Ovis aries: one gene and its partner. The protein of the gene in region 2 interacts with the protein of the main gene of each other region in a biochemical or structural test. Links are inferred from orthologs where the notes say so. Each region holds a gene or a part of one and is shown on either strand. Other genes may lie near its edges.

Region 1 (5,866 bases), on a different chromosome or scaffold from region 2:
ATTAGTGAATAGTATTGAACTGATGTTAATTATTATTTTTTTGGTCATTGTGCCATGTTTTCTTCAGACGCTAATCTTAAAGGAAGCAATGTAAAGGATATTCAGACACTCTTGTACTTTCCTTGTAACTCTCTTAGTCTAAAATTATTTCAAAATAATATGTTAATAAATATAATTGTCTAAAGCAAAAAAAGAAAAACATTTGAAAGTCTCCTAGGGGAGCTAATGCATGCTACATATAACGAAAATGTAATAAATCTCAGAGGGATGATGGACTAGCATTTGAAAGTGCTTTGAGGGCTTTCCTGGAGGCTCAGTGGTAAAGAATCTGCCTGCCAATGCAAGAGACACAGGCTTGATCCCTGGTTCAGGAAGATCCCACATGCCGTGGAGCAACTGAGCCCGTGCACCACAACCGCTGAGCCTGTGCTCTGGAAGCTGAAACTCCTGAGCCCGCCTGCCGCACTAGAGCCCATGCTTCGCAATTAGAGAAGCTGCAGCAGTGAGAAGCCTGCACACACATCCCATTCTATTTATAGGGAACACACTCTGTCCTTCAACAGCTCAAGAGGAGTGCCCCCTGCCCCACTATCACAACCAGAGAAAAGCCTTCACAGCAACGAAGACCTAGCATGGTCCAAAATATAAATAAATAAATAAATAATTTTTTTTTTTTAAGTCCTTTGAGTTTTGATTTTCAGAGCCAGTAAACTAGTTGGTGGAAGGGCTATGTTAAAGGGGCCAGGTGCCTGGAGCAGTTCTGCTCACTGACCACGGGTGATGTCTCTGCCTGGCCAGCCTCCTTCCTGGAAACCCCATCTGCATAAGGTGAGGGGAGGACCCGCTGCTGCTGGCTACTGGGAACGGTCCAGGGCGTTTCTGATTTTGCCAAGTCTCTGGATACAAAGAGCTGTCGCTTTCATATGCGGGAGATGTCTGCTCTCATTTTAATTTTGCATGGTAATAGGACCAATCCCACCTCATGTGGATTTGAAGTATACACTCTCCCTTTGTACTAGAGTTAACATGCTCTTTTCTAGATTTTTGGAGCCACGGATTGAGTGCAAAATTACTGTTTAAATCAGAGAGCACACAATACACACATTTTAAAATCCCAGCTCTTTAAGCACACTGCTTGGTTTCAGAAAGAGAAACGCACACACTCTGTCTTTCCCACATGCGGCATGGAAAATGGGGCCAGAATGATCCTGCAGAAACTTCCTGAAGAAAACAGGCAGGTCAGCCATTCCCAAGCCCAGCCTGCTGCTGCAAAAAACCCTAGCCAGAGTGTCCCCGCTTCCTTCTCTGCTCCAAAGATGCCGCGCCTTTAGGGCAGCGTATGCGTGTAGCCCCCTCGAGGGGCTCGAGGAGTCCACTGGGCTGGGTCCTGGCACGGGGCTGGGCTCTGGGGGAGGAGTCCACTGGGCTGGGTCCTGGCACGGGGCTGGGCTCTGGGGACACCCCTTCTTTCCCACCCCGGACCCATCTGGCAGAAAGACTCCATTTATCAACCCAGAAGTCGCTTGAACCAAATCCTAGCGCATCCCCACCCCCTGCCCCCCAGTGAATCATCTTTCCCCTTCTGGGTCTGCTTCCCCTCCCCCCACCCCAGCCCCGGAGCCACCCGTGAGCCTCCTCCGCAGGGGATTCCAGGATCTGCATCATTCAAGCAGCTTTTGAAAATAAAAACCACCTAGCCGAGAGGGAGGTCTTTGTTCTTTCACCGGGTTTACTCGGTTTATGGAATTCAATTCCCACCCCTACCCCAGGTCTGCAAATTTCTCCTTCCAGTGCTGGGAGCGGGGCCTCTTCATTCCCGCAGACTGTGTTCCTGGCCCTGTGCTAAGCATTTTATCTTAGATAAACTTCATAGCAACCATCTGGGCTAGGTAGTGTTATCCCTGTTTTACAGATGGAAAGAGCTGAGGTACACCGAATAACGTGCCCAGGGTTTTACAGCTAATAGATGGGCATAGCTAGGTTTTGAGCTCAAGTCGGTTTTAAATCGAAGCCCTAAATTTTCATTGTTGTTCTTGATAGAGCAAGAGTAAGAATAATAGTAATACTGAGCAATTACTATTTGCCAGGCACTGCGCAAAGTATTTTCTCCAAACTACTTTCAGAAGCGGTTCTGTGTTCTGTGATCTCCAGATCGCTGAAAAAGCCTCTTTTTCAGTCAATTCCATACCTACAAAACGAAGCTGAAAACATCGCTGTTGCGAAGAATAAATGACTTAATATGTGCAAAGCCCTTAGAACACCAAGTGGCACATATGATTAATCCTTCAATATTTCGTCTTCTTTTTTGTTTGGTTTTGGATTTCTTTTCACATCACCTCCATTCACAAGTGAGGTCGGTTTAGAAAAGCTGAGCAACTAGTCCGATTGCTGGGTGCAGACCCTATGGTGCAAACCCTATAGCGCAGACCTGCTCATAAATTGTGCGCGATGCGGGTCCGCCCGCAAGTGAGTTGCACCTGGCAGGTGAGAGACGCGCTCCTCAGGCTTTGCAACAAAATGCGCTGCAGCCGGGAGGCCTGGAGCGCTCGGTGGAGAACACACAGCCTTGGGGGCCTTCTAGCTCTGGATCTGGGCGGATAGGAACTCGGCAGTGGTGGTGGTGAGGGGGGGGGTCCCGCCAGACTCGCCTCATAAGTATCGCGGGAGACACCTGCGCTCCGGGGCGGGGGGGCCTCCGGGCAGGGGGCGGTCTGGTGCCGGGAATCACCCCAGCTGCCGAGCCTTCCGGCGCTCACGCTCACATCCCCTCCTCCCCTCCGCCCCGAGCCGGGGCCGCCCGCCAGGAGCCCGGAGCCCGGAGCCCGGAGCCCGGAGCCGGGAGCCGGGAGCCGGCCGCGCTCCCCCGCCCGCCGCGCGCCAGGGCGGAGTTTCCTTCTCGGCTCATTGTTCTCCGCCCAGCGCCGCCCCGCCCGCGCGCTCCTGGGGAAGGGAAGGGGAGGGGGCGGGGGCCGGCGCGGACGGGACCGGAGTCGCCGCAGCCGCCGGCCGGGCCGCAGCCGCGCAGACACCGCCTGCGACGCAGCCGCCTGCCGCTCCTCTGCCGCCTGGCTCGGCGCCTCGGCCGGCTCTGCCGCAGCGGCCGCGAGGAGGGGCCACCGGGGCGCGACTCGGGACGCTCGGGCCACCGCCCGGCCGTCGGAGCCACCGCCAGGCCTCCCGGAGAGGCGCCCGCACGCTCCCGCCGCCCGGACCCTTGGCCAAGCCCGCAGCCACCTGCTCCGCGCCCGCGCCCAGGACACGATGCGCGCCGCGCTGGTGCTCTTGGCGTTTTTGCTGCCGCTGCCGCTGCTGCTCTCCGGTAATGGTGAGTGATGGTGGCTCGGGCTCCGCCGGGACTCCCCTTGTGCCGGTGCGCCCCCGGCCGGGCCCGCTGCTGGGAAACCCGCCCTGCCTCGTGGCGGGACCCGGGAGCAGCCCCTGCGCTCACTACTACCCGGGGCCGCACGCGGAGCGCTGACCTTGCACCAGCCAGGCCCCTTCCCACCCCAGGAGAACGCCGCAGGTGCCGGGATCCGAGCGTGGGTCGTCCGGATCTCCACGTGGGTGGAATTGCGATGGGTTCTGTTCGGGCAAACGGGCGCTCCGGCGCTGAGTGGGCTCGCGGTCCTAGAGTCGGGACTTGGGGCACCGCGAGCCTCCACGCTTCCGCTGGACCCCCAGCGTCTAATCACTTTTTTCTCCGCGTTGGAGTGGTAAGGGACGGTATTGTGTCGTCGTTAATTCCAGGCAGAGCGGCAGGCTGGGAGCTTATGAGGAAGTCCCCGAAGCAGGTGACAAACCTCCAGTAACGGCCCTCGAGGCCATGTGTTTCGCGTTCTGCCGGGAGGTTTTTCCGAGCATCGTGTGCTCATTCAGCTCACTTGAACCTGTGCTGGGGCAGGTGGAAACGGGGAGGGAGTAAGAGGATTTTCCACAATCCCAGACTCACCTGAGTGGGGCGCCTGCCTCCAGGGCACCAAGGAAACAGCTCCCTTCTCTGTGCACGGCCAGGAAGGTGAGAGTCCCTCCCAGCCCTTCGTAGAGAAAAGAATTTCTCTCTCATGAAATGGGCTTGGACTGTGCCATAGAAACATCTCCCATATTTCTTCTAAAGGTGAAAATCTGGTGGGACAGGCACTGTCCCAGAGTCCCTAGGAACAGCTAGGACTCTCGGCCCCAGGAGAGAGAAGCATTTCTTTCTTGCCCACCTGAGCAGGTGTCTGCAGGGAGAAAGAGCCCTGTTTCCATTCTAGAGTCAGAGGGGCTGTCGTGATAGCCGAGACAGAGAGGGGACCTTGCTCTTCTTGGTAGGTGCTGCCTTTGGGACTAAAGTCTTAGGGGAAGGGCAGGGTAGCATGGCAGTGCAGTCTGTTTTCTTCGTCACAGGGGACTTTGCTTGTGGGAAGGGGCAGGTGCTCAAGGAGCAAGTAGGTTTGGGCATCCTCCAGGGAGCAGCCCTGAGACTCCACAGCCTGGCCTGAAAGGGGTGAGTAGGTGAGGAGGTGACGCCTGCAGGAGGGATTCCAGTGTGAGGAACACCGCAGATTTGCACACCCTGCAGGGCTGATAAGATGCAGGAGTGGGGTGTCTCTCCTCAGTCCTGCTCTCAGGCAGATGGACCTCAGTGTGGACGTGACGCACACCCTTTCTGCCAGGAGCCTCTTAGCACCATCCAGAAGGGAGATGGGCTGTGTCAGGAAGGCTGGGGTAGTTCCCAGTGCCTCTGAGCTTCAGGAGCTGAGCTTGAAGGAGAAGGTGGAGGCTGTGGGATGAGACCCCTGGTCCTCTGTCCTCAGGAGTTACTGGGTCTGGAGCCACCCATAAAATGCGAACAGCTCCAAGCCCCACTCCTTGCTGGCTTCGAGGCTGGGACTGTCTTCCTTGGCACTTGTGCACTGCCCAGAAACCCTGTCTCTTCCAAGAAGCCCTCCTCAAGCCTAGCATGGGGCATGGAGTATGGTAGGAGCTCTATCTGTGGTAAAGAAAAGAGGAACCATAACCCTGCTTCCTCTCTCACCAGCAAATTACCTGGACTTTCTGAGCCCAGTTGTCCGGTTCCTAAAATGCTACTGTGGTATGCAGTGATAATGGGAAGTGCTTTGAAGAGTGTTAGCTGGCAAGGGAATATCACTATTAATATTATTATTGCTATGTTGAGACCAGAGAAGGCTGAAGGGTGCAGGCTTGGTGTTTAGTGGCTGTGGCAGAGTTGGGAAGATCCCCTGGAGAAGAGAATGGCAACCCACTCCAGTATTCTTGCCTGGAGAATCCCCTGGACAGAGAGAGTAGCCTGAGGGGCTATAGTCCATGGGGTCACAAAGAGTTGGACGTGACTGAGCACGCCATAGGGACCCAGTAAGGACTGCTTCATCTCTGCTCTTCTGAAGGTATGGCTGGCTGAGTTGCAGTCATCTGGGAGGGTGAACCCCCAAACTGCTGGAATCCTGTGATTTAGTTCTAAGCAAGGTTTCAAGTAGGACAAACAAATTATATCCGACAGGGCCCTGGGATCTTACCTTCTATTGTAGGTGGGTCACACAGCATCAGCAGCATCCAACCCGGTGCCGACAACCCATTAGACCCCTTTCTGGTTTGATATCCACTTGGTTGAACCATACGGCAAATTGTACCTCTGAACCTGTTTCCGAATCTGTAAGACAGAATGAAAGAGCAGAGGAACAGCTAGTGTCACTGTGACATTTCTGGGCTTTTGCCGAAAGGACAGGCTGACTGAGCACTGTCTTAAGGGTCTGATTGTGTCATTCGATGGATGAACCTTAGGCAAGGGAAAGGCAGCTAGAGGTGGTTGAAAACACTCGAACTTTGGATCAGACAGACGTACATGACTGAAGACCAGATAGTGGAA
Region 2 (5,328 bases):
GTCAGGCGGGTTGGGGGCGGGGTGGGCAGTGAGGTCAACAGCACCCAGCTTAAGTCTCTGGCACCCAGGCTTGGCAGAGGGGACCCTGGGCACCCTGGTGTGAGCAGGCTGGACCCTGAGCAACAATGGGGGCCTTTCTCTGCCCGGGCTGGTGAGTCACCATATGGGGGGGTGTAGAGCCTGGCTCCAAGAGTTACCCCCATGCCAGCCTCTTGGACTGGTCACAGGCAGGGCTGGGAGTCAAGCGCTTGTCCAGCTCAGGGGCAGTCTGTTTGGAACTGGGGCTTGGAAGCCCCTGGAAGCCCAAGGGCCCAGCTGGGAGGCTGCAGGAAGAGCTCTGAGCCAGGCTGGAGAGAGGAATGCGAGCAATGCGCTGGGCCAGCCTGCACCCCCTCCCAGCCTGCTGCGCTGGGCCTCTCCCGGGGCCTCCCTCTGGGTGCCCAGGCCACTGGCCTCACTCTTCGGCCACTGCAGCCCCCCAGCCCGAGGGTCCAGTGCCAAGTCTGGTGCTCCTTGGACCCTGATCCTAATGCGAGGGATGTGGGCCAAATGTTAGTGGCGGGAGATGGCTGTCCTGGGTCTAGCCAGGGAGATGGCCAGTGTGGTCTCGAACCGGAAGTGACTGCATTCAGTCTGGCCTCATGGCCCCGGATGCCCCCTAGTCCTGCTTCCTGTTTGGGGGCCTTGAAAGACCTCGGCCTGGAACCATTGTGGAGGGCGTGGGAAGAGCCTCAGGGGAGGGCTGTCTCTCACACCACAGGTCACCGCAGGGGTCTGTGGAGCCTGTTTGCACGCCTGTGTTTGGATGTCTGGTCTCTGTGACTGTGTGAGGTGCCTCGGCCATCTGGGCCCGCGTCCACCTACCAGGTGTGGTCATGTCACACGTCCAGGGTCCCACACGGCCCTGGCCAGCCTCGGAACCTGTGGTCTGACAGCCCCAGCCTGAGAGTTGCCTCAGAGCCACACACCTGTGCTTGCAGCTGTGTTTGGAGAGGGCCCAGTCTGTGGGGTCCTGGAGAACCTGGGTGTCTGCCCAGCCGATCCCCTGGAGGATGGAGGAGCAGAAGCCCCAGCCCCTGGAATTTCTGGGGCAGATGGTGGCCTGCAGCAGGGGTTCCTGGGGGGCTTTGGAGATCAGGGACTCTTTGGGGATCAGGAACGGGCCCCTGGAGGAGGGGCCCAGGCTGGACTGGAAGGTGTTCCCCACCGGTAGGAAGGCCCACATGCTGGGGCAAGGTACCATCCTGTAAGGAAGGGCACTCTTGGTTCCACGGCAGGGTGGCCACAGTCAGATTTGGGGGATTTGGGGTGAGCTTGGAGGCTTGGAGGCTGGCTCTCCCAAGTGTGGCCCCCCACCTGGCCCAGTGTCCCCGGCCACACACAGGGAGGTGGAAGGCCAGGCCCCGGTGAGCACCCCCGCCCCTGCACGCACATTTGAGCCCTAAGCGCTGGGGAAACCTGAGCTGCTGGCCGCCTGCTCCCTCCGGCCACCGCCATGTTAGACTGAGCGTCGCGGCCGCTGGCCACTCAGCGCTGGTCATTGCCTTAGGCCCCGGTGGGGTCCTGGGGTCTGGCCCCTGCCTGCACGGCTCCCTGCACCCCCTGGCCCATAGCCCTACTGCAGGATGCCAGAGGTAAACGGAGGCAGGGCCCTTGGGTGTGGGTGGGCACCCTCAGGGCACCAGGAGCCCCCGGGGTCAGAGGGGCAGGTGGGAGGCAGGCCCCTCTGCTTGCTCACTGGGCTCCAGCGTGTGGGGATGGGGGCTGCTCCAGCTGCTCTGGAATGTGAAGGCAAACACAGCTGCAGCTGCTGCCACCAGCCCCAGGGAGACCTGTGGGAGTGTAAACAAAGCTGGAGCCCTACCCCAGCAGACCCACACTCGGAGTAAACAACAGGCGGGGCTGCCCTCCTGGAACAGAGACACGGGGCAGCTCACCTCGCCTGCTCCCTCCTCGGCTCGGGTCTGCGCCCAGCCCTATCCTCGACCCAGTGGATTCTCCCAATCCCACTGTAAGGCCTTTGATCGCATCACAGGCCCACTGGGGGTTTGGAAACCAAGCCTTTGTCCAAGATCCCAAAGTTGGATCATCGTAGGTGGCCTAAGCACCCCCACACCCCAGGACGGGTCTCTGAGACGAGGGGCTACCATCAGGTGGGGGTATGAGGCCAAGCGCTGCCTTGGCACCCAGCGGGGTGTGGGGTGGGTGTGGGCTGGAGGCCTCGGGCGTCAGCATCTCTCAGATGGGAGGAGGTCAGAGCTGGAACCTCACCAGGTGTCCCCGACGCCTGCAGGATGCCAACGGGCCTCTGAGGGAGCTGCGCCCAAGGCTCTGCCACCTACGGAAGGGCCCCCAGGGCTACGGGTTTAACCTGCACAGCGACAAGTCCCGGCCCGGACAGTACATCCGCTCAGTGGACCCCGGCTCCCCTGCTGCCCACTCTGGTCTCCGTGCCCAGGACCGACTCATAGAGGTACCTGCCACTGGGGCTGCGGGGAGCGGGCTGCCCTGTGTGTACCTGTGTCCTGCTGTGCGTGCCTCTGTGTGTCTGTGCCTGTGTGTGTGTGTACGCCTACGTGTCTGCCTATCCGTGTCCGTGTGTATATGTGTCTGTGCCTGCGTGCTGTGTCCATGTGTATCTATCTCTGTGTGTGTGTCTGCCCTTGCATGCCTGGTGTGTCCGTGTCTATGTGTGTGTGTGCATGTGCCTCTGTGTGCCTGTGTGTGTCCTTGTGTATCTGCACCTGCGTGACGGTAGGTGTGTCCGTGTATATCTGTGTCTGCACCTATGTGCCTGTAGGTGTGTCCGTGTCTATCTGTGTGTGTGCATGCATGTCTGTGCACTTGTATGTGTCCCTGTGTATCTGTCTGCACCTGCGTGCCTGTAGGTGTGTTCCTGTGTTATCTGTCTGCACCTGCATGCCTTAGGTGTGTCCGTGTGTGTGCATGTGCGCCTGTGCACCTGTGTCCATGTGTATCTGTGTGTTTGCACCTGTGTGCCTGTAGGTGTGTCCATGTGTATCTATCTATGTGTGTGCGCCTGCAGGCCTGTGTGTCTGTGTGTACTTATCTGTGTGTGTGCACCTGCATGCCTGTAGGTATGTCTGTGTCTGTGCGCCTGTGTCTGTGTGTATCTGTGTGTGTGTCTGCACCTGCATGCCTGTAGGTGTGTCCATATGTGTGTGCGCGCACCTGTGCATGTTCGAGTGTATCTATGTCTGCAACTGCATGACTGTAGGTGTGTCCGTGTCTATCTATCTGTGCGTGTGCATCTGTGCACCTATATGTGTCTGTGTGTATCTGTGTGTCTGCACCTGCGTGCCTGTAGGTGTGTCCGTTTATCTGTGTGTGTCTGTGCGCCTGTATGTGTGTGTATCTCTGTGTGTCTGCACCTGTGTGCCTGTAGGTGTGTCTGTTTATGTGTGTGTCTGTGCGCCTGTATGTGTGTATCTGTGTGTCTGCACCTGCGTGCCTGTAGGTGTGTCCATGTGTCCGTGTGTATCTGTGTGTGTCTGCACCTGCGTGCCTGTAGGTGTGTCCGTATGTGTGTCCGCGTGTATCTGTGTGTGTCTGCACCTGCGTGCCTGTAGGTGTGTCCGTGTGTGCGCGTGCCTGTGCACCTGTATGTGTCCGCGTGTATCTGTGTGTGTGTCTGCACCTGCGTGCCTGTAGGTGTGTCTGTGTGCATCTATCCACGTCTGTGTGCCTGGGCCCCAGGTCCTCTGCAGGAGGAAGATTCCGGGAACCTGAGCTGGTGCTCTTCTTGGTGCTGCAGCTGGTGACGGCACTGATGAATATTTGATGCCACACCTGTCCGGGTGGCTTGGGGGGCTGGTGGGGACCAGTCCCCAGGCAGCACTGACCCTGTGCTGGTGGCAGGTGAACGGGCAGAATGTGGAGGGGCTGCGCCATGCAGAGGTGGTGGCCAGCATCAAGGCGCGGGAGGACGAGGCCCAGCTGCTGGTGGTGGACCCCGAGACGGATGAACACTTCAAGCGGCTGCGGGTCACACCCACCGAGGAGCATGTGGAAGGTGAGCGGCTGCTTTGGGGCCCAGGGCTGGGGTGAAGCATCGGGGACCCGAGTGGTCAGTTACATACTGTCCCCACAGGTCCACTGCCATCGCCGGTCACCAACGGGACCAGCTCGGCCCAGGTGAGAGGGTGGGAGCAGACAGGGTGGGCTCGGGGACCTCAGGGGCACTTCTGGGAGCCCCTCCTGAGACCTCAGTCCTGGTGTCACATGGTTGTGACACTGAGCCCGGCCCTGTCACTCCCAGCTTTAAGGCCCCTTGGGTCCTGTCCGGGCCCAGCCGCACTCCACCCCACAGGGCACTCGGGCACCGCCAGCTTGCAGTCAAGGCTCAGTGCCACTGCCAGATGCAGGAGTAAATGCAGCTCTGGGGTGTGCACGTGTGTGCACACACTTGTGTCCATGTGTGCACATACGTGTGCACAGTCTCCTGGGTGGGCCCCTGAAGCCACACCTTACCCTTGGTTTCCCAGCTCAATGGTGGCTCCGTGTGCTCGTCCCGAAGTGACCTGCCCGGCTTAGACAAGGACACTGAGGTAGTGGGTGCCCCTCCACCTCCAGTGCTGCTGCTCACATGCTGGGGGGCCTGAGGCCTTGGGGGCGGGCATCTGTGGAGCTGTCAGCCTGAGCCGTGAGGCCGCCGCCTCTAGGAAGCCTTCCTGGGCCTGCTGCCAGGTGGCCTCTGGCGCCAGCTCCCTGGGGAGGGCCACCTGCCTGGGGGCTGGGGTCCAGGGCTCACTGGCCACCTGCCCACCGTGTCCACCCCTAGGATGGCAGCACGTGGAAGCGAGACCCTTTTCAGGAGAGCGGCCTTCACCTGAGCCCCACAGCAGCTGAGGCCAAGGAGAAGGCGAGAGCCACCAGGGTCAACAAGCGGGCACCACAGATGGACTGGAACCGGAAGCGCGAGATCTTCAGCAACTTCTGAGCCCCCTGCCTGCTCCCCACCGGCTCTTCCCCACGGGCCTGGGCCTTGCCCTTCGGACTGCCCAGAGCTCCCCACGCCCCGGTGGACTGGAGGGGGCATCCTTACCCCTAAGCTGGGGTGGTCCCACCACCACCCGCAGGGTGTTAGGGGAGTGTGGCCACAAGATGGGCAGAGGGAGCCCCCGAGATGTGAGAGACCCAGAGAGACAGTGAGGGGCAGGGGGGGGAAAGGGGGGGGGGCAAGGGCCAGGGGGGAGGGGCGGTGGTGACCCACGGGCTGGCCGCCGTGCTGACTGCCTGGGCTTGCTGACTTACAGGAATTTGTGTTTTTGCTTTTTTTTTCCCCAGAAGGATCTCTAGCTCCACATA

Evidence for each region.
Region 1: the proteins of NHERF2 (region 2) and PODXL form a complex in vitro, tested with the Homo sapiens proteins (3 studies listed by BioGRID and IntAct, with this or other methods). The link is inferred for Ovis aries from reciprocal best matches to the Homo sapiens genes NHERF2 and PODXL.

Annotation. Positions count from the first base shown.
Region 1 is NC_056057.1:96,948,196-96,954,061, reverse strand, and holds the start of PODXL (podocalyxin), read left to right. Parts: upstream 1-2,448; coding exon 2,449-2,466; intron 2,467-2,667; coding exon 2,668-3,325; intron 3,326-5,866. UniProt on the Homo sapiens protein: Involved in the regulation of both adhesion and cell morphology and cancer progression. Functions as an anti-adhesive molecule that maintains an open filtration pathway between neighboring foot processes in the podocyte by charge repulsion.
Region 2 is NC_056077.1:2,104,835-2,110,162, forward strand, and holds part of NHERF2 (Na(+)/H(+) exchange regulatory cofactor NHE-RF2), read left to right. Parts: intron 1-2,293; coding exon 2,294-2,473; intron 2,474-3,879; coding exon 3,880-4,033; intron 4,034-4,111; coding exon 4,112-4,155; intron 4,156-4,505; coding exon 4,506-4,568; intron 4,569-4,801; coding exon 4,802-4,960; 3' UTR 4,961-5,328.